Regions from separate parts of the Mus musculus genome. Here regions 2, 3, 4, 5, 6 and 7 are each reported to be linked to region 1. The links are microRNA targets in miRTarBase. Many come from high-throughput screens and were not tested one by one. Region 1 holds a microRNA gene; each other region holds the end of a gene's coding sequence. Distances are between the middles of the regions.

The links. The annotated mature microRNA mmu-miR-181a-5p reads AACAUUCAACGCUGUCGGUGAGU and lies in region 1 at 803-825, shown strand. An mRNA with a match to its seed (bases 2 to 7 or 8) in the 3' UTR can be bound and repressed. Matches are read on the target gene's strand: a 7mer-m8 pairs with bases 2 to 8, a 7mer-A1 pairs with bases 2 to 7 and ends in A, and an 8mer does both.
Region 2: the mRNA of Ttyh1 is a reported target of mmu-miR-181a-5p. Seed matches in the 3' UTR shown: 7mer-A1 at 1,139-1,145.
Region 3: the mRNA of Samd10 is a reported target of mmu-miR-181a-5p. Seed matches in the 3' UTR shown: 7mer-m8 at 2,185-2,191.
Region 4: miRTarBase lists Epc2 as a target of mmu-miR-181a-5p. Seed matches in the 3' UTR shown: 8mer at 1,071-1,078 and 7mer-A1 at 1,812-1,818.
Region 5: the mRNA of Reep1 is a reported target of mmu-miR-181a-5p. Seed matches in the 3' UTR shown: 7mer-m8 at 2,891-2,897.
Region 6: the mRNA of Pi4k2a is a reported target of mmu-miR-181a-5p. Seed matches in the 3' UTR shown: 7mer-m8 at 2,175-2,181.
Region 7: miRTarBase lists Eme2 as a target of mmu-miR-181a-5p. The part of its 3' UTR that is shown has no 7-base or 8-base seed match.

The regions. Positions count from the first base shown.
Region 1 is chr2:38,851,939-38,855,018 of GRCm38, forward strand. It overlaps Mir181a-2 (microRNA 181a-2), which reads left to right and starts at 797; the gene lies at 797-872. All of the region lies in intron 3 of Nr6a1 (nuclear receptor subfamily 6, group A, member 1), which reads right to left. Nr6a1os (a long non-coding RNA gene) reads left to right here. Exons shown (of 7, transcript XR_866167.2): 3 at 277-421. Mir181b-2 (microRNA 181b-2) reads left to right here and starts at 1,892; the gene lies at 1,892-1,980.
Region 2 is chr7:4,133,351-4,136,430 of GRCm38, forward strand. Ttyh1 (tweety family member 1) reads left to right here. Exons shown (of 14, transcript NM_021324.6): 12 at 7-52; 13 at 313-388; 14 at 516-2,057. The coding sequence ends at 351. All of the region lies in intron 1 of D030047H15Rik (RIKEN cDNA D030047H15 gene), which reads right to left. Among named protein-coding and RNA genes, the nearest start is that of D030047H15Rik, 2.0 kb to the right of the region's middle.
Region 3 is chr2:181,594,080-181,597,159 of GRCm38, forward strand. Samd10 (sterile alpha motif domain containing 10) reads right to left here. Exons shown (of 5, transcript NM_172676.3): 4 at 2,668-2,808; 5 at 1,136-2,526. The coding sequence ends at 2,504. Among named protein-coding and RNA genes, the nearest start is that of Zfp512b, 3.2 kb to the left of the region's middle.
Region 4 is chr2:49,549,581-49,552,660 of GRCm38, forward strand. Epc2 (enhancer of polycomb homolog 2) reads left to right here. Exons shown (of 14, transcript NM_172663.4): 14 at 346-2,029. The coding sequence ends at 418. Among named protein-coding and RNA genes, the nearest start is that of Kif5c, 68 kb to the right of the region's middle.
Region 5 is chr6:71,807,265-71,810,344 of GRCm38, forward strand. Reep1 (receptor accessory protein 1) reads left to right here. Exons shown (of 7, transcript NM_178608.4): 7 at 527-3,080. The coding sequence ends at 537. Among named protein-coding and RNA genes, the nearest start is that of Mrpl35, 15 kb to the right of the region's middle.
Region 6 is chr19:42,119,652-42,122,731 of GRCm38, forward strand. It overlaps Pi4k2a (phosphatidylinositol 4-kinase type 2 alpha), which reads left to right. Exons shown (of 9, transcript NM_145501.2): 9 at 142-2,567. The coding sequence ends at 303. Among named protein-coding and RNA genes, the nearest start is that of Avpi1, 7.8 kb to the right of the region's middle.
Region 7 is chr17:24,890,055-24,893,134 of GRCm38, reverse strand. Eme2 (essential meiotic structure-specific endonuclease subunit 2) reads left to right here. Exons shown (of 8, transcript NM_001163102.1): 6 at 1-96; 7 at 191-380; 8 at 452-983. The coding sequence ends at 622. Spsb3 (splA/ryanodine receptor domain and SOCS box containing 3) reads right to left here. Exons shown (of 7, transcript NM_001163751.1): 3 at 2,675-2,852; 4 at 2,380-2,567; 5 at 2,200-2,302; 6 at 1,999-2,124; 7 at 988-1,775. The coding sequence ends at 1,432. Among named protein-coding and RNA genes, the nearest start is that of Eme2, 3.5 kb to the left of the region's middle.

The sequences.
Region 1 (3,080 bases):
ATTGGTAGTTACAGATTGTGGTTAAGACAGGTGCTGGGATCAAAGTCCCGCCTAGAAAAGTACAAGTTCTTATCTGCTGAGTCATCTCTCCAGATACACTCTCTGTGCTCTAGTACACATAGAATTTTTACTTTTCCTATATGGGGAAAAAAAATCATGGAGCATCACTAGCACTTCTGTGGTAATTTAGCAGCCCATGATTCTCAGCTACTGAGTTTTGTTTTTCATCTTTTTCTCTGAAATATATGACTTTAGATGTATTTTCTACTATTACAGGCAAACAAGAAGGAATTTGCTTGTTTGATTTAGCTCTGCAGTAAAGGTTCAAATCTGAGACTGGTAAAGGAAGGAGAAAGCAACATATCCAACCAATACTGGAACAATGAACTCTGGTGTTCAAGTTCTGGCTATGGAACTCCGGGTAAGTCTCTGTTTCTTAAGGAAAACACGGTTGGAATTAAATATACAAATCCTACTACACATAAGTCCCCAGCATGTGTTATGGTCTTTCTTGTTTTTGTACATTAATAATTAAAGTATTACTACAAAATTGCTATATTGATGTTTTCAGAATGATAGCATTGAAAAATATTTCCACAGATATCCACTTTTAGTCAGCAATGTAAACTGCAGTCTCACAATCCTGCAGCTCATTTCTGCTTTATGCAAACTAACTTCACAGTGTAAGTACTGTTAACTTGAAATTTTGGGAAGAATGTGAGAGACCCAACAGCAGTGGTCCTTAGAATATGAGAGCAGGCCAAAGATGGGCAACCAAGCCAGCCTTAAGAGGACTCCATGGAACATTCAACGCTGTCGGTGAGTTTGGGATTCAAAAACAAAAAAACCACCGACCGTTGACTGTACCTTGGGATTCTTACAGACAACAAGTTTCCTGAAGCAAAGGAGTAGGCTGTACAGATATATCATGTGACAGACATCACAAGATACAGTCCTGTGGCCTCTTTTCTAAAGGGAACCAGCAAGTTTTTTTTTTAAGCTTCCATGTATTTATATTGTCTATTTTTTGTAATTTCTTGATAAATAAGTGTTTCATTTTAACAATTTATGGGAAGTGCCATCATAGTACCAAATGCACTCAAATATCTTCTAGAAATGTGTCATTCTAGTCAGAAATAGGGTGTATTAAAAATGTCTATTTACTGTAGGAAAAAAATCTAGTTAAGTCTTTTATTCTCATTTCTTCTACGTCCTTTCAAATTTTTGCTTTAGGGTCAAGAGATTTACTCAGCAAAAATACTCACAGAGTTACTCACTGTCTATACAAATCATATTGTGCCTCCAGTTTCAGTTACTGCGGTTAGGGATTTGACATCTCCATGAGAGAACCAGATACATTTCCATCTCCATGTGCTAATTTAAGGAATTCTGGGTCATCTCTGAGCCTCCGTATCCAAGTATGTTTTCTCAAATGTAGAATAGGAGAGGAGAGAACCTCAGAGTTTTAATTTAATGAGAAGATATATGAGGGTACTTTGAACAGTTTCTGGCTCACAGCAAATGTTTACTACAAAAATTTTTACTTAACTGCAATCATAATCTATACTGCTTTACCTTGAAAAGGGCACTTAACGTCTCAGCTTGAAACAAAAGATGAAGCAATGTCTCTGAGGGCTCCTTTACAGACATCAACATCCAAGTCTCAGCCCATGTGATCAGAGCTACTTACAAGGTTCTCACATAGTGCCTTCTTCCTCACAACTTTTCTGTCTTGAACAAGTTCTTGCTATACAGTCAAGGTGATCTATAATTATGAGTCCACAACCATACAGATGACTAGTTACTAACATACAACAGACTTCAAAGAACCATAGTGGGAAGAAGAGCCAGGAGATAGAAAAGACCAAGACAATTTCATCAAAAGGAAACATTGATGGCTGCACTCAACATTCATTGCTGTCGGTGGGTTTGAATGTCAACCAACTCACTGATCAATGAATGCAAACTGCGGGCCAAAAAACGCAAAGAAACAAAAGTACTCCCAGAGAGTCACCAGAGTACGGAAGTACTGCTCCAGGTGGGACCTCAATCTTTTATCTAAAGTCTCTTTAGTTTCTTTGCTTCTAATATGGAAGAAGCTCTATAATTCCTAGTATTTTTTATTTTCTTCTCAAATATTCCAAGTTTTGGGAAATTTATATTATCACAGGCAAAAGGATTAATATGCCTTGACATCATAATATTTAAAAATAATACTTAAATATACATAATTATTTTAAAATAAAAGTATATGAAAAGAATTTAAATCTATCCTCATCTCAAATACATTCCTTCTATGAAAACTACATAAAAACATCCATTTAATAGTATTACTCACACAACATAAAGAAAAATTTTATACCTTTGAAGACTTATCTACATGTATAAAAACAGAGGCAAAACTGTAATTCAGGGGAAGTTCAATGGCAACAAAAGGAACTCACTGCTCTTCAATTTACCTTTACACTCAGCTATATACTTTAAGCTTAACAAACCACATTTACTATTATTTTGGCTATTTGTTAATTGTTTTTGAGACATAGTCTTACATATCCTATGCTAGGTAGCTGAAAGTGGCCTTGAATTTCTGATCCTATGTTCTCCTAACTAGGATCACAAGTGTGTATCACCAAGCCTGGTATTGAAACCAAGGTTTTGTATGTGATAGGCAAGCAGTCTACTAATAACTGCAGCACCTGTACTTTATGTTAGTGTACATGTACATATTTTGGTGCATGTGTAAGCCAGGGTAGGTGTTAGGTGTCTTCCTTAATCACTCTCCACTTCATTGTCAAACCTGAGGCATGCCAGCAGGCAACCAAGTTCCAGGAGGCATCTGTCTCCACTTTCTCAAGTCTGTATGTTTCCATGGTGAACACTCACTGAAGAAGTCATCTCCCCATTGCCATCGATCCTTTCTCATTCTTTTGAATGACTGTATGTCTTCGTATGAATACTTTGGTTTTTATTGTTTAGACACATTAAAAAAAAAAAAAAAACCTCTCCTGGCCAAAACCATCTATTCTTACTTTCCCAAGATACGTTCTTATAACAAGAAAAACAGCCAAGTGAGACAGGAA
Region 2 (3,080 bases), not on the chromosome of region 1:
CTTCAGTGATGACTACGATGACACAGATGACGATGACCCTTTCAACCCTCAGGTATCCTGGTGTGAAGGGAGGAGGCCTGGGGCCTGAGCTCCTGGGTCTCTTGGAAGGGGAAATGAGTATTGCATTCTCGGGTCTGAGAAGAAGAGAAATGAGACTGGACCTCTGGGTCTGAGGTCCTAGGGGAACAGGGATGAGTCTTGGCCATGAGGGAGGAGGCTGGGGTCTGGAAGCCTGGGCCCGAGGGAGGAGAGAAGGGCCCCCACGTACACAACAGATTCTGAGTGTCTTTCCTGCCCTGGTTATCCTGCCAGGAATCCAAACGCTTTGTGCAGTGGCAGTCTTCCATCTGAGCCTCCCCTCCAGTCTGGAGCCTGCCTCTCCTCTATGGTAACCTTCAATGTGTACAGTTGGGTCTTGGCTCTCCCCTACAGTAGTTGTAGCTCTCTTATGTTGGGTGGATGTCCATGGGAGGGTCTCCAGTGAATATCAGCTCTTCATTTCTCCCTCTCTCTAGCTCCTTTCCTGGCTGCTGGAGAAGGCCCCACTAACCTGACCTTGACTGGGCTCTGACCACTAACACTGCTGGCTATGGACATCTCACTTAGGATGGCAACCTGCTCTGGCCCTAACACCCACCCCCCCATCCCCATTTCTCCTTAGCACAGGGGATTGCTGAGGTGGCACAACAGGGACCAGGGGTGGCTGGGAAGGGGGCTGACCTATACAGCCTGGTGTTCCTCACCTCTGGCTGCCAGTCCTGTCCTTGGAGGGATGAAGCTGGAGGCAGGTACAGGCACGTCCCTGTTTCCTGCCATACCCCAGCGATCTCAACCTATGGCACTAACTTGGAAGAGGGCTGATTTGAAATAAAAGGGAAGGCTTTATTTTACAAGCAGCTAGGTCCTTCTTATCCACCCCAACTACTGAGAGAAGGAAGTCCTGACTGGGCTAGGGACACTCCTCCTCTGGTGGTTGAAAGGCAACTCTCCTCTTGTCCAGGCTCAGCACTGCATTGCTTCTATAAGTAACATGTGAATCCTGACAAGGGGGAAGAAGCAGATACCGGAAGAGAATAAGCCTAGCACTAAATCTAAACAGGCGTGCAGCCACAGGAACAGTCAAGCTTCCAGTCCCGTGGAATGTACAAAGCCTGCTGGGTTTAGGAAAGGCGTGGAATCAACTTGCTTCCTAGCAGCTCACACCCAGCACAAGACTCCAGAAAACCAACGCTTGTATCAGAATAGGGACAGAAGTCTTCGAAGAGAAAGTAGAATATTTGCTTGTAGTGCCACCAGGGTGATATGAAGGGGGAAGGTTTAAGGAAGATATTATAAATCCAGGCAGGAAAAGATGAGGCACTCAATAAGTTATCAAGTAAAAACAAACATGGCAGAGTCAAAAGGGAAATTTATTGTCTGGGGAACAATATGTATGTAGTTCTCATTTGTTTAAAAAACAAATAGCATACATGGCAAAGAAAAACGTGGTTAATACATAAACATAATTCAAAAAGCTTCTATTATCTAACAAAAAAGACCTCAATTTAATAATAAGTAACTGAGAAAAACAAAAACCCCAAAACAAATGGATAAAATTGTCTTTTTTGTCTTTGTTGTTGTTGTTTTGGAGACAGGGTTTCTCTGTGAAACAGCCCTGGGCTGTCCTGGAACTCTCTTTGTAGACCAGGCTGGCCTTGAACTCACAGAGAAGAGCCTGCCTCAGCCTCTGCCTCCCTAGTGAGGAGATTAACGGCGTGTGACGGCGTGTATCACCACACCCAACTAAAGTGTTCAAATTCTAATGATTAGCAAACACAATGTGCTACTTTCCCCTTTCGAGTACCTATTTGTTGTGGGATTTAGAGTGGAGTGTGGGCTGGTGCTGGTCTGGAGGCCCAGGGAACAGGTTCTCTAAATATGCTGCCCAGAGACTGTGAATCACCAGCTATGTGAAAATAATAATAAACAAAACAAATAAACAAACATAAATATGCTTACATGTGAGAGGATAAAAACTGCATCTCTTATCCTGGTAATCCTTTGAGGGACCAGCTTCCAGAAAGAAATAAACAAGCAACCCCTGGCTCAGTTAAACGCTGGAGACAAAACTAATCTGCCACAGTGGGACTCTTCCCAAAGACCAGCAGCTCTGTAGGGGAGATGGCAGAGCAGGGTCCTCAAGTGACTACAGAAGCACCAGGGGTATCCCTGGTTCTTGCACAATGCTGGTTTGGATTCCTATGGGTCCTAGTCCTGGCACCTCAGTGTTAATGTAAGCAAGTTATTTGACTCACTGAACCTCTTTTTTTGGTTTTTCAAGACAGGGTTTCTCTGTGTAGCCCTGGCTGTCCTGGAACTCACTCTGTAGACAAGGCTGGCCTCGAACTCAGAAACCCACCTGCCTCTTCCTCCCAAGTGCTGGGATTAAAGGCGTGGGCCACCACTGCCCAGTTTTTTTTTTTTTTTTTTTGTTGTTGTTGTTGTTGTTTTGGTTTGGTTTAGTTTGGTTTGGCTTTTTGTTTTGTTTTTTTGAACCTCAGTTGTGTGGTAAAGCAAATGGGCATCATAAACCCAATAAACAGCTCTTGACAGGATGGGTAAAAAAGCAAGACAAATGCAACATGATGCTCTGGGTTACGCTATGGCGCACCGGAAACATTAGTGAGAAAAAGCGCCCACATCTGCGGCTTAGTTCAGAATATTAGAGCAATGTCAATTTCTTACTTTTAACAAATGAATTTGAGGTGTGGAATCTAGCAATAGGGGAAACTGGGCATAGTGTGCCCAATTCCTGTATTACTTTTGTAATTTCTGTAAACTTAAAATTTATTCTAAAATAAAAGTTCATTATAAAAAAGAGATGGGAAGAAACCTACCAAGCTAACACTAGCAAATGATACAGAGTTATCCAAGTGTTGTTTAATTACCAAAAGTTGCTTGTACAATGTGAGACTGGAAACTGGTCAATTGATGAACAATAATTGATAAGAAGGTAGTCTTATCAATTATTTTAACGGGAGATCCCAAGTTGGGCTGCATAATTCAATCACTCCTACTGTAAACAGTGAGCTTTAAGTGGC
Region 3 (3,080 bases), 140 Mb from region 1:
GGCACTACATTCCCTGAAGCTGTGAACTGCCTGAAGAGGGTGCTGGAAACTCAATTCTGCAAGAACAGCAACTGTGTTCTCTCTCTCTCTAGCCCCACCTCCCTGCAATTTTTCTTTATGTGTGTATCTAAGTGTCAAGACATTTTGCAATGCACTTATGTGCACCATGGGTTATGTCATGTCTAGTGTTAGTGATTATGTATTGTATTTATGCACTTGGGTAATTATATCTGTGCATATGGGGATGTTATAAATCTTTGCACAGATCATTGGCCAATTGTGCAAGTGTGTTTGTACATATTTAAGCATGTCTGGGTGTTGTGTCACTATGTTTGTGGCCTATACCTCAATGTTCCTATTTGAATGTCTGGTTATTGTGTTCAGAGTGTGTGATTCATGTGCTATGGATGTCAGGGTATGGCTGAAGAGTAAGCCCCAACAAATAACCATGTTAAGCTGTAGTGATAGTTTATTTGGAAAAGGGGTCTTTGTAGATGTAACTGACGTTTCTGAGATCTATTTGGACTAAGTGAACCCTAAATTTAAAGAAGATATTTGAGAGGCAGACGAGAATGACCACAGAAATAGATTTGTGATATAGCCTCTAGCTCAGGAATACTAGACAGCCACTACAAAGCTGAATAGATAAAGAACTCTGCTCCACTTTTAGAACACCTCTGTTTCTGTTTCTTTGCTGGGGATCAAACCGTGATTTGGGACACAAACCATGTCCAATATCACTGAGCTATACTCCCAGACCATGAACCAGCAAAAATTCGCTGCTAGATCAGCTCCAGAAAGCCTCATTCCATGTGTCCAAACTATTGTTTTGAGCCTGTCAGGGTTGCTATGTCCCAAACTGGGATGATATCCAAGGACTTGAGACATGTTTTACTTTTTAAGTTTCTTCCTCCCTCCCTCTCTCTCTCTCTCTCTCTCTTTCTCTCTCTCTTTCTCTCTCTGCGACAAGGATGTTTTATTTTTTTATTTTTTTACTTGAGACATCTTGTTTGTTCTGATGTCCTGGAATTACCAGGTAGCTTTCTCAGGATGCAACACCACTGCCCTCTAGTGGTGTTCTATCTGCAGGCACTGTCCTAGACACCCCTTTGCTCCCCAGAGACCCAACACTGAGGCATTTGAGAACCAGATTTATTTCTGATTTTTTTTTTGTCAGAGTATATATAAAAAGTGACCAAAAACCAAGGAAGAAAGGACAGGGGCATAGGGAAGAAAAGACAGAGAGAGGGGGGACAGAGAGGGCCCTCTGGCTGCAGGCACCAGGACTGGGGGATTCTAGAGGCAGGCAAACACAATAAGGGAGCCCCCTTCCATGGATGGAGGGCATACAGGATGGAAGATGCCAGGCCAATGGCCCAAATTAACTGTAATGAGCAACCTTGAATCGAGGCCAGCTCTTGGCACACAGAGGGGACTGGAGGCTGAGCCTCAACTGTCCCTGAGATTTTAGAGTCCCTGGGAACGTTGGTAGAGAGCAGAGTGAGAGTGAGCTGCCAGGGTCATCCTCCTTGTCCTCCTTCCTGGCAGCAACAGCCCCCAAATACCCAAGGAGGGGTTGTCCAGGTGTCTGGCGACACATGAAAGAACTGCCCTACATGATTTTCTTGGTTGAGAACAGGTTTTCTTGGGAAAGCCACAGAGGTGCACATGAACACAGACAGACAGACAGACACAAACACACATTCTTCAATATGGTCTCTACTAAGAGCCAGGGAATAGGGAAGCTGTTTAAAAGCATGACTTCTTCAAAGGTAAGATTGAGAACATTGCTGAACTGGTGGGCTGTGCATAGAGTCACCTGTACAGCACTGGAATCCGTGCCACTTACTGGGTTTGCAGCTTGAGCATCTTGGACCCCTCTCAACCTCACTTCTAACAAGTGGGTAGAGTATACTGACGTTTCATAATCACCGAGTAAGCACATGGCATGATGATTGATCACCATTAGTATGGACAGCAGGTTGGGCCTGCTGTACTCTAGGAGAGCTAGGGGACAGATATACTTGAAAGAGAGCCAAGACAGCTTGGCCCACTGTGTGGCTGATCTGGGGGTGCCCGGGAAAGACACAGAACTAAGATTTAAGGGGAAGACTCATGACTCAGATGGGGGATGGTCACATGTTGGAGGGAGAATAAATAAACAGACTCCCTGGGAGTCTGGGGACATTCAAACCCCATTCTAGTTCCAGGCAGCTACCCTGTTTGCTGCCAGCAGCACCAGGGGATGGGACCTGGGCTTGGATCTCAGAAGAAGGGTCTATAAGCAGGCAACAACCACCCACCCAGCCACAGGGCAGAACCTGTAGTGCCTCTCCAGAGACACCTGGAGGTGGAAGTCTTGCTCCTCCCTGATCACTGGGCTAGGTTTAGCCACTAGGGTATCCTGCAGGATCCAAAGGGGCTGTAGGGCCAATTCTGACTCATTCTTGGCTGTGGGCTCTGGTCACAGTGTTGGGGTCTGGGGTCCAAGTATAGGCAGCAGCTAGGACATGTTTCCGAAGGAAGCTGTAGGATGGATAGGAGGAAAAGCTGAGTTTTGGCACACCCAAGGATGGTCCTTACTGGATGGCCCCCTTTTGTGTCGAGAAAAGTCACCCTCCACCTTCAGCCTAGTCCCTCCCCCTAATCCTGGTCCCTGATACTAACCTTGGCTGAGCAGCTTCAGGCTCCGCCCCTCCTCACGAACCTGCAGGTGGAGTACCTGCTGCAGCACCTCCTGCCTCTGAGCCTCTTGGGTCAACCCCATTCTCTGCAGCTTATCTGCATTCAGTCGAAGCAGAGCTCGGCCTAGGGAGAGAGAAGGGAAGGCAGTGAGGCAAACAGAAGCAAAGCATAGGAGTCTATCAGGATAAAACAAACAAATAAACAGACAGACATGACCAAGAAAGTAGAGCAGAGATTCAGAGATTCTTAAAGGAAGAAAGGTAGAAAGAAAGACAGGATTGATTAAAAGAGGCCAATCAGAGAAGCAGCACACACACACAAGGCTGAACTCAGGAGGATACAGGAGAAGACAAGGCTGACTACGTCTTGAGCATTCTGTTTCTCCCTAGCCAGTG
Region 4 (3,080 bases), 11 Mb from region 1:
TTCAAGTTTTGCAGGGCAAGTTTTTATGTTCCTTTCAATAGCACTATTGCAAGGAAAACAGTAAAGCAGAAGAAAATTGATCTGCATGGGTTAAAAAGTTTATGATCTTAAGCCTATAAAAAGAAACTTGAATTAATTGTGTTATATTCCCTAATCTATTGTTAGTATTAGAAATTAATGGAATTTCTGAACTGAAGAAAACCTCTTCATTCCTGCCGAGAAATGATAAAAATGGGGAGTTTTCTAGAATTATGTTTAGTTATAGTTACTTAAAAATGGGATTTATACATGGTCAGTGTATTCTCAGGAGTACTAATGCTTATTGTCCTCTTTACCTTCTTACAGAGAGAACCATGAACCAGAAAGACTGGGTTTAAATGGACTAGCAGAGACAACAGTAGCTATGGAGGTGACATAACGGAAGGCGCGTGGCCTGACCTGTGTGGATGGTTGCAGTCATTCCTATTCCAGCGGAATACAAAGGCGGGTGGCACTCTGTGGATCACAGAGCAGAACAATGGACCTAAATGGAGTACAGTATACCGGATGTTAAGTCGATATATGATGTATATTTTGTAAAATTGGGAAAATCACTACCTTGTAAAATAGTTTATTTGTATCATCAATATTATTTCTGTTACTTGAATAGTAGATATTCATCATCATGCTTTTGCACTTGAATTTGCAACTGAATGGATTTTAAAAATAATTCTTTAATGGGATCATGAGCATGAAATGGGATCCTGCATCACTTGTTTTAACTATTTATTTTGCCATGTTTACATTTTGTATCTTGTAAAAAAAATAAATCCAACTTTGTGTCTAAAAAGTTAAAGATTCATAGCTAGGAAATGAAATTCTTGTAATTTTTTTCTAAAGGAACTGTAAAGTTTTCACTTGGTTCATTTTGTTTCACAATTTGACTAGATGGACTTTTTGGTAAATACTTTAGTGGCATTTCACTGTCAAATACGACTTCAAGGCAAAATAGTATTTTCTATTACTGTGCAGGGGAAGGGATGGATCGATACATGCAAATTTAATGTAGTAACTCACTTTTCCATATATTTTGAATGTATATTTCTATTTATAATACCAGTTTATAAAAAATAATTACACAGAAAAAGTGGACTAGGAAATTATGCATCTAGCACATTTAAACTGTGCAGATATGAAAATTTTTCATGGATTACATTTTATCTGAAGACTGCATATTTTAACTGGCTTTAAAACTGTAACACACCACATAAAAGATATTTACCAGGTATGTATTGCATCATATCATTGCAATAATTATTGGAAGTCTATATATCGAGCCATCCCAGGTTTTGGGAGGGGGGAGGGTTGTGGCGAGATTGTCTTTTCAATTTTGGAGAGTTTTCCTGTGGCTACAAGGCAAGTAACGGGTTGGAAACCGTCTGACTGTAAGTGTTGGACACCTTCATAGCGTAGTGTTTAGTGACTTTTTTATACGGTTCTTGTAAATTAGATACGTGTAGTGGTGTTTCAGAATGTTTGTTTATGCACTAGTTCAGACAACTTTCCCTGTTACTTGTTCTTGATAAGTGAAAACTGCAGGGAAATAAAAAATACATATCAAAACACGGCCATGCTGCATATGTGTTTATTTCACCATGTGCACACAGCGCAAGTGAGGGAGGACAGGAGGGACAGGCCAGCCCGCACAGCACTTGTCGCCCAGGCCTTCAGGCATGGAGGAGAAGGTCGAAGGCTCGCCTCTGGGCTCCATTGGGTTTCAGATAATCCAATATAAACTACCTTTGCTATGAAAGTTCTTAAAATATTTTACAGAATGTAAGTAATTTGCAGTATAGCAGTCATTGAAATCTCATAAATGAGCCTCATTTTATAAATATATAGAGTATAGTGTAGAATTATATTGCAAGGGGGTTTTGGAAGTCCTGGGAAATGTAAATATTTTTAATGAATACAATTAAAAACCATTTCAAACTGAACATAATTTTATACCTTTTTTATATCTGCAGTCCTGAAAGTTGTAAACTTATTGTCACTTAAATTAATGGGCCAGGATTTCTGCTGAGAGTGGTTTATTCAGATCCTAAATGTAAAGCAATTTATGGTCAAAACCACAGGGGAAAAATAAATTTAATTACTTTGTCGGTTGTGACCTGATAGGATCCATGCTCGTTTTTGCCATACTACCTCTGGGGTTCACTGCTGATGATATAAAGGAAATAATTTGATTGATATGTATGTGACTATGTTCATTCTGCTTACAGTTGGATGTATCTTGCTATTAAGAATTTGAAACAACTCAGTGCTAATTTCAGAGAAAGCTTCTCCCCTCCCCCCATTTTGCTGAAGTAAAGCATGAAGTTAATTTGCCTTATGTGATATATGTGTGTGTGTGTGTGTGTGTGTGTGTGTGTGTGCATTATAAATAAGTGAAATGAGAACTATGTATTTGTACAGTTTCTGGAAGTGATAGCAAGTCCAGAACTTACAAAAGACTGATTAATGGCCAGTTGATTTATTCCTTTTGAAGTAAAATAGACAATTTCAGCCTTCCTTCCTTCCTTCCTTCCTTCTTTCCTTCCTTCCTTCCTTCCTTCCTTCCTTCCTTCCTTCCTTCCTTCCTTCGCTGGTTGTACCTGCTTCATAGGATGCATTTCAATTACCCATGCGCACAGTTCCAGCACTTCTCCAGGGCTGAAAGTTAAAGGGTGGCTTGTGCGGTTGCTCTGTGTGCTGCCAGCTCTGCTATGTCTTGGAACTTTTCAGAACACTGGGCAGATGCATTCCTTTGGAGGCAGTAAGCGTGGGAAGAGAGGTTTTACTTGTATGTGTGCATTTGTTTAAAATACAAAATGACTTGTGTGCTGGGTCATCCTTTCATTGGTGTAGGCAAAATATCAGACAAACTGCACTTTTCTGCCTTACTGGAAGGAGTACCCCCTTTTTAGTCAAAGTCAGTATTACCATACAGCTCTAAGTATATTTGAAGACACAATGTGTGTTTCTTTTGCAGAAGACCAAGAAAAAAAAAAAAGAAACTATTTGCAGTGTATATTTTTTAAATGTATGCATATAGCATTGTA
Region 5 (3,080 bases), not on the chromosome of region 1:
AGAATAGGGCTTCCAGTCAGAGGGGACAGTGGTGTGAACCCCATTCGGTGACATGCTGGGAGGATGTCATTTCTTTCATTTCTATCGTGATGCCTCCTGTGGTTTGTGCCTCCTCTGAGAGAAAAGGTCTCTGCAATCATCTTCAGGGAGATGAGGTAGTGGTGGCCTTCCAGGTGTGGCTTGCTGGAGAGTAAAAGAGAACAGAGACTGGACGTTTGTGTGAAAGCACACGCCAGAAAAAAGTTCCCATAGGAACTATAAAACTCAGCCAAGGGCTGGAGCTGTCCCCTGAAGCAAGGAAGCCATGCCATTCTGTATGCCCTTCCTTCTCTTCAGCCTCAGGAAGGAGCAGTGGCCTTCCCGGGGGGCCTCAGCCTCACCTCACAGGGTGCAACGCTAGAATCTGATTCCTGTTGTAGGGAACCCAGCTCTACCCAACAACAGAGGGAGCTGGCTCAAGTACCCCTACCTGACGCTGTTCCCCAAGATTCCACCCTCAAGCCCCTCTCTCTGCTTTCTCTCTCAGGCACCGCCTAGAACCCTACGATCCCGCTTCAGGAAGAAAAGTACCTCATCCTCGGCCACTGAAACCACGTGAGATGAGCCAACAGCCCCGGATCCACACATGTCTGTCTCCTCTGCCTTAAAGAGCTAGTCACTAGTACCATGGAAGTCCGCAGGCTGGGTGTGCTTCGAGTGTGCAGCCCACGGACATGGCCTTTACTCGCTCCCCTCTTCTGCCTTTAAGACTCTTCTGTTCTTTCCTTTTTGTTCCTGCTGGGGAGAGGCTAAAGGGAAAAGGTGGTGGTGGAGGGTGACCTTTACGTCTTCTGGGGTTAGTGATTTTCCCCAATTGGATTGTCATTGTGGCCGCAGTGTTTTTAGATCTATAAGCACTCTTTCCATGATGCTGCTGAGATGTACATTTGTAATTTGTTTGTTGCATAGTTTTTAGTCCTGTAAATGCAAACGACGTGATCTTTTTTAAAAACCCTTTTGTTGTTCTTGGTACTAATACATTGGACTATGGTGTACATAGTTACAGCTTTTGGCTTAATGTAATGAACTCGCAAGGGCTGCCAGAAGTTCTGGTGAGAGAGCTGCAAAAACAAAAATGTAGACAAATATTTTAATTCTAGGCAATGTCTCCAACTTCCTTACAAAGGCAGTGCCAGTAAGGCATCCCTTCTCCTGCAGGAAGGCGGTGGTGTGCTTCTGGCGGCTGAGTGGTTGGTAGGTCAGAGCGGAGGCAGGAGTGCAGTGTTCCAGCAACAGGAAGAAAGTTGGTGGGCATCAGGGAAGAGGGAGGAAGAGTACGGCTTCTTCAGTTCTGGGTCCCTGGCTGTCCTAATAGGTTTGTTGTGCTGTACCTAATCTCACCCTTCCTGCCCTTTGGGGTCAAGAACAGAAGCTTCCGAGCCCTTTGGGGAGCACTGGCCCTGCTTCAGGCAGGCCAGCTCACCCTTACTTAGCACGGCCATTTAGGGAATGAAGATCAGCTGCTGGCAGAATTGTGAGTATCTCAGAAGGGCTTGGCAAGAGTGTTTCTCCTTCAGGGACCAGCGCTGTGGCCGACTTCTCCAGGAGCCTACATCTGAGCACCTTGTTTTAGAGTACACAAGGCAAAAAGAAAAGTCTAGAACTAGCTTTTGTTACAGATGTGCTCAAAACACATGAGACACTCAAATCTCAAATGGTCGCCAGAAGGCAGGGTCTAGGGAGGACTGAGGCTAAGCCACAGGCAGCTGTGGCTCTTGCTCCTTTCTGGCTTGTGTGGAAGGTGAATGGGAAGGACTGACACTCATGCTCACTCCATGTCTTCGTGGATGTTTTATACAAGCCAGGACTGCAGTGAGAATTTTGACAAGTCTCTGACTTAGATAACATTGCGTTGAGGGAGCTGCCCTCTCCTCTGATAGCTGAGCCAAATTGTAGGGCTAGTCTGTGTGTGCGTAGAGTTGGTGTTTTCGTTCCATGGAATGCATGCAGCAGTCACAACCCAGTTACTCCTATTTGGATTATATTTGTTCACAGCTATGCCCTGAAGGCTAGAGAAATAGTGTTGTATACCACATAGAACTGTCAACTGACTGCAAACAGGCTCAATTACAAACCGCTCTGGTACCGAGCTATGCAAACATGCACTGGGAGACTGCTCCATCAGCTGGGCCTTGGCCATTTCACAAAGGGTTTCAGTTGCGAGTTCATTGCTGCCAGATACACCTAATGGAATTTTCCAAAGGTGATTTTGTATTTCAGAACTAACCCAAGAGCTGATGACTGACGGTAAATAGTCTGCCTGGGCCCCATATCCATCTGAACCCATTAAGCAAAGCATCTGCCCTCTTCAAGCTCACCCCACAGCTCCAGACAAGAGAAGTGACACCCTTCAAACATACCAACGTGTCAGCTGGGTGTAGCCAGGATGAAGAGGAACAGGTGCAGGAAAGCCTGAGAGAAGCAGCTTTGCAGCTCCCCCTCCACCCCCCGAAATAATAAATGGCTTTAGAGACAGAGTTCAAGTCCTAGTGTATTTTCATCGTTTTACAACAGGAAGTCATAACACATCGAGGCTCTTGAGTTTGTACTCAGCCATGCCAAAACCCAGTTTGAAGCACTCCTCAGACATGCTGTATTACTTCTCGCTCAAGATTTAAAATATAAAGGTATCTAAATCGTTGTCTTATTGTAAATGTAACTCCTTTTCCTTCAAGTGTTGACTAAGTTGTTTCCTCTCTTAAAGACACTCACTGTACAGCCAAACACAGCTGTCTTACTTCTTGAGAACTGTGTTTACTTTTCTGACAAGCTGTGTATTTGTATGTAGACTGACATATGATGTGAATGACCTTGTATGTAGAAGTGCGGTGCTCTGTCTACGCAGGATAAATGAATGTTTCTAGTTCGCTGACTTAAGACACAGGCTGTTTACAAATCGCTAGCTCGAAGGTCTACTTGTCGCGGCTTTGAGTTACTCTCCATTTCTGCAGAGGTGAGGTGCAGTCTCCTGCTCATCAACTGGAGATTTAGTCATAATGCCTCCTGAGTTTGTGTGAATAGCTTGCTCACTTTGCTGGCCT
Region 6 (3,080 bases), not on the chromosome of region 1:
CTCTCCAGCCTCACATGCCTACTGTTGGAACTAGCCTGCTTCCATGGTACTTCCGCTGGCATTTGTTTTTGACATGAAGGATGACACTGCAGAGGCAGGCTTAGAATACTAGGCCTTTCACCTTTTCTCTTTTCAATGCAGATCCTAAATTTGACCCAGGCCCTGAAAGACAATAAGAGCCCCCTGCACCTCGTCCAGATGCCACCTGTGATTGTCGAGACGGCCCGCTCTCACCAGCGGTCTGCAAGCGAATCCTACACACAGAGCTTTCAGAGTCGGAAGCCCTTCTTTTCATGGTGGTAGCCCCAGAGGCAGGCAGAAGAAATCCTGCAGGTGACAGGCTGGGAGGAAGCCTGGAGTCCCAGGTTCGCAGAAGCCAGAGAAGCTGGCGGGCGCACAGCAGAGCCTTTCAGAGCCCTTCCTCTTTGCTTGTCACCTCCCTCAGGGCTTTCCTACCCACAGGGAGAAGCACAATGGGGGGACAAGAGTGTTCCTGGACCTTCAGAGTGTTGGGGAGGCTCCTGTCCAGGCAAGGAGCTCAGGCGGCTGAGGAGGAGCCACTCCCTCCTAGCATTTGGTGGCTGGTTGGGAAAGTCCCATCTCTCCCTGACAACCCTCTCCATCCAGGTTACCTAATATATTCTGCATCAGAAACCAACAAAACAAAAACAAAAGAAACAAATTTAAATGCTTGTAGGAAAACCTACATTAGATCCTCTGACATCAGAAGCCCTTAATCTAGAACCTAAATTTGCTCAGACACAGGCGCTCTGATACCTAGCACTTGTTTACTCCATGAACTGAGCGGTCAGAGGTCCATCGCTGGCCCACGGACAGAAGCCATTCCTTTCTGGTTTTGCCAAATTGAGCCTCCTCTTGCCACACTGGTACTGACTTCGTGTGGCAGTGAGCAGGTTCATGCTCTGCTCCTCTAAGGCTCTGCACACAGGCTTTTTCTCTGCCCTGCTGTAACTTGCCCGGCACTCATCTGAGGTGGGAGGGGCTAGCCTTGGCAGTGTGCTCTGCCAGGAGTGGTTGTGTGACGCGGAGGTGATTGACTTGGCCTGGTTGCATGCTGGGTGCTAGGAGGGTTCTGTGGGAGCCTGGCACAGCCTCACTCCTGGTCCTTAGTTGCGGCCTTCCCTACCTTTCTGTTTGGTAGTCTAGTTTCCCCCATTTTAAAATGAGAAGTTCAGTTTGGGTTCTGGAGTGGCTCTCAGTAGGTGTTGTGGGTCAGTAGGTTCATGGGCAGCCAGGACAGCATCTCTGTTCTTCATGTGTTAACTGCTGCTGCCTGGAGAGAACAGGACCGTGTTCTGCCCCCTAACCGGCGTGCCCCTTGGCTCCTGCCTTCCGTCTTGGGATGGTTTCTTCTCAGCTTCTTGAAGAGAGGCCTTCGGACAGTTCCCCAGTGCCTGCCCAGCTCAGCGTGCATCTTCCTGCTTCCATGTCTTCTCCCTTGCCAGGTGTTTGAACCCTTTCTACACCAAAGCAGAGAACTGACTTCAGGAGGGAGTGAAAAGGGGGCCGAGAGGCCGTAGGCAGCGGCAGTGGTCACACCCTGTGCTGTGGACCCTTGAGTGTTCTCACACTCTACAGTTGGTCAGTCAGCCTTGGAAAGAAATGTCCTGAAGGCGTGAAACAACCAAAGACCTGGAGTGAGGAGCACAACTGTGCCTCAGCTGCTTGCCGGGCTCCCACCGCCTAGAGGCAGGGCTGAAGACAGCCTTCTGTCAGGTGTGGCAGGCTGCTCCCTGCCCATTCCAACCCAGGAGCCAGCTTGCTATGGGCTTTCACTCAGCAACATGAATCTCCAAGCACTGGATATGCATGCCCAATGGACAGTCGCTGTTGTTTGCCCCATCTTGACAATCCCATCCAGCCCACGTGGACTCTGGCCTCAGAACCTTGTTTGAGAGAATCTCTCTCTCTCCTCGCCACAGGAGCCAGCAGGGGTCCAGGTGTGTGCCGGTCTTCACAGATGTTTCCACACCAGCCGGGTGGCGAGACTTCCCCCTGGAGTGCTGGAGAGAACTTAGTCCTGCCCCAGACCAGGTTTGCCATCAGGAGGAAATTGGGTCCAATGGAAGAGGGGGCCGGTGCCAGGCCCAGTGGGCAAGGGTGCAGGCAGCCTTACCTGCCTCCCTCCCTCGAAGCTTGTACTCAAGTTGCCTTGAATGTGGACTTGGGAGTGCCAGGAGCCCAGAGTGTCAGGTACTTCAGAACAGCCGCCCCTCTGCCAGCCTTAGGCCTGTCCCCTGTGTCTAGGAGCTGAAGCTGGCTGGTGAGCGCTGCTGCCCTGTTCTTCTAATGCACTGTAGAAATTGTATGTATTGTATTTAAATCAATGCAAATGTATGAATAACAAATCCAGTTCTGACCTCTCTGTCCAGTTTCCTTTGGGGGAAGAAAGACAAGATAAATGCAGTTTTAAGGACAAAGACACATTTCTGTGGAGTTATGGGGACTTGACTCTTGAAAACCAAGTGTTTTCTTAAGACATTTCAAAAACTGACATGAGTCTGCATTGATAAAACACATACTTGCTTTTGGTATGAATATTTACTATAGTGTTTGCCCTGGCTACTTCCTTACAGTCAGAATTCTGGGATTAGGTATAGAGCAGTGGGTTGCAACCCTTTTGGGGGGGGGGGGGCGTTGAATAACCATTTCACAGGAGTCTCCTAAGACCATCGGGAAACAGATATTTACATTATGATTTATAACAGTAGCAAAATTAGTTTTGAAATATGAACAAAGTAATTTGTTGGGGGTCACCACAACATGAGTAGAACTGTATTAAAGAGTCGCAGCATTAGGAAAGTTGAGAGCCACTGGTTTAGATGCAAATTTAGGAGAGGTTGGCTTTTATCCATGGCCATCAGAGGGCAGTCCTGCCGTATAGGATCATCACTGTTCCTGGGGGATGGGGGTTGGCAAGGAGAGGGTCGTGCTAATGAGCACATAGTCTGGAATAATGGGAAGAGCTCTTACTCCTGTGTCATCAGATCTAATATATTCTGCATCAGAAACTCAACAAAACAAAAACAAAAACAAATTTAAATGCTTGTAGGAAAACC
Region 7 (3,080 bases), not on the chromosome of region 1:
CCATGCAAACCTGGATGTGCTGCTGATGGCTTCGTGGCAGGAGCTGAGTCAGTACGTGTGTGCCTTCACCAGGGCCCTCTCGCAGCTCCCCTCGAAGTATGCATCTCTGCAGGGGCCGAGTGGACACAGGCCAGGGTCGGAGGGCTGCACAAATGGGGTTCTCAAAGCGTCTGTCTGGGTGTCATTTCAGGCAGCACCGGGACTCCCAGGCCTTTTCTTTCTGCACAGCAGGGCACTGGGCCTCAGGCCAGCAAGTGACCAGAGATGGCTCTGGGCTCAGAGGAGTGTGGTGGCGACAAATCAGACAGTTCAACCGGGTCAGCCCAGCTGTGGCTGACGCTGTTGTTACTGCCTTCCCATCACCCCGCCTTTTGCAACAGGTGAGTCCCCTAAATCCCTCCTTCCAGGATCAGGACTTACCGTCCACCCCTTACACTTGTGCCTACTCCAGGCTCTCCTGGACTGCAGCACAGAGCAAGAACGCCTGAGCCTCCTAGCTGATCTCCCTGTGAAGGCCCACAAAGGCAAGCAGCCTCGCAGAGTGGGGCCTGACCTCTCACGCAGAATCTGTATCTTCTTGACAACCACCAACCCTGACCTCCTGCTGGACCTGAGCTCTTGACCTGTGCCATCCTGGGGTCACCTCCTGCCCATCAGTACAACAGGACAAGTCTGCCTAAGAATCTAATTATTCTGAGAGGCAGGCAAGGAGGTTTGGGTCCAGCCCATACCTTTTCAGACTGTGGTAGATAGACTCTGTTGCCTGATGGTCAAATGGAAATACCATGGGAGGTGGGTGAGAGGGTAAGGGAAGCTGAGGTGAATGGAAGAGTGGAGGGTAGTGGCCACTTGGTGCAGGAGGCTTAGTAGTAGGCCTGAGTGCTGAGTTGTACTATTACATCCTCAGAGAGAGGTGCTCAGAGATCCAAGCCAAGCTCTCTCAAAGCCGCTGGACAGAGACAGATAAACAATAGACACAGGCAGCTTGGGCATTTGTGAAGGCTCTTTTAATGATATAACATAGAGGGACAAGACAAAACCCCTTCACAGGGCACCCACTGCCATCTCTGCAGCAGGAGCTGACAACATGCAGTGCAAGTCAGGAAAGCCCCACGGCCCCGTGGGTGGGGACAGCCCATCTTCTCCCCGGGATATGAATGCACTCCCCTTCGTCGGCCAGCCTCCCGGGCTTGGAATCTAGGTTCACAGGTGCCTAGCTGCAGTTCCCAAGACACGTGGCAACTCAAAGGACAAATAGGAGTACGGCTTCCCTACCAGCACAGGCAGTAGAATGACCTTCACTCCATGGTCACCGGAGAAGACTGTCCTGGCCTCAGGGAGATAGGGAAAAGCCTGGACCTCAGTTCTTCCCTCTCCTGCTGCCCTGGAAGGGCGAGAAAGAGGAAGGTATCTGCGTTCCCAGGGGAGAAGTCAGCTTCTTCGGCAGCGCTTCCTCTGACAGGGCCTGGTCTCCAGACTCTCGGCACCAGGTGTAGCTGTGCCAGGAGGGGGCACAGGGGATTTCCAGTGGTTGCAGTTCATGCTCAGAACCCAGCCCAGCTTGTTATGCAGCACTTGCTTGAGGCCAGGTGGCAAGGGCAGGCCCTCGAGGGTGTCCCCTGAATTTGGCCGCAGTTGGCGCAAGCGGTAGCAGCACAGGTACTGCAGGGATGTGGAGCTGGCGCAGGAGCGGATGACTTTCATGCTGCTCTTGGCAGCCGTGGAGCAAACCATCGGGTAGAACCTTCTGTTTTGAAGCCGAGTAGCAGCCACTCCTGGGAGGAAGGCTTAGCCTGAGTGCCATGTGGGTTGGGAGCCAGGAAGCTCCTCCTACAAGGCACCACGGTAAGCAGCTCAAATAGTCTGAACACAGAAAATACTCTGGTCTGGCCTGGTAACCCCAATCTGCTTCAGGCCTGCCCACCCTCCCTCATCTGTCAGGAGCCTCAAGTCAGACTGCCTGGCCCCACCCCTAAAGGCTCTACAAAGGTACCTCACCTATGCACTTCCTGTTCTTGAAGAATGTCAGTGTCCCATGCCAGGTGTCCAAGTGCACACCAATAATGGAGCCCTGGCCAAAGCGTGAAGAGAAGCTCGTCTTGTCACCTTTGTGGTGGAGGAGCCCTGCGAGGAGCAATGGGGTGATCCTGGGAGGTCTGCTGTACTGCCAGCCCCACCCATGACCCAGGCAACACCTACCAGTGTAGGAGAGCCCCCAGCTGTCCTCATCCCTGCCCAGCAGGCTGCAGAACGTGTGGTGGTACTTGTCCAGGTCTACATCCGACGTCCCAATGCCCACCATCTGTAAATAGTGGGCCTGGACAGTTAGATGCCTAGCGGCAGGGCCCATGGCATCTACCCTCTTGCTTGGCCATTTACCATGTCTGTGCCATACACTGGAGAGGTCATCTTGATTTCCCAGAAGTGTTGGCCATCCCCTAGCTCCTTGGTGCCCCGAATGGCTGCAGTGCCACAGCTATACTCCATGTGAAAGCTGACCTTGCGATTATCACAGCTCAGCAAGGTGGCTGAGGACTTGTTCAGGTCATCCCAGACCCAATCAAAATCTGTAAGACAGAGGGCCTAAACTAGGGAGGGCTACAGCTAAACGGTGCCTGCCTGGTCCCAGGGAACCTGCCCAGCCCTCCACACGTCCCAGCGGCAAGACACGTACCCTCATCCTCCTCACCACACCGGCAGTCCTTGCCACGGTGTGCTGTGTGCAGACTGTTGCAGAAGGTAGCCTCATTCTGGCCCTCGCAGTCACAGAAGGACTCTCCTGTCACAGGCACAGCACTGGGGATGGATGGTGGCAGGGAGGAGTACTCAGGGTCAGAGTCGGAGTCGCTGTGCTGGAAGGGAGGGAAGGGGTAGGTCACTCTGTTTATGACAAATCCCTTCTCAAATCCACCAGAGAAGCAGCCAGACACCTGGCGCTCTCCAGTGCTCAACATAATCAACCTGAGTGCTAAGACTCCAATGAGATGGGAGGTGGCCCTAGGGGAATGGCTTCTTACTTGGCTTCCTCTGCCCCATTTCCCCCCAGAAGGTCTGACTACCATAGGCCACACAGCATCCAC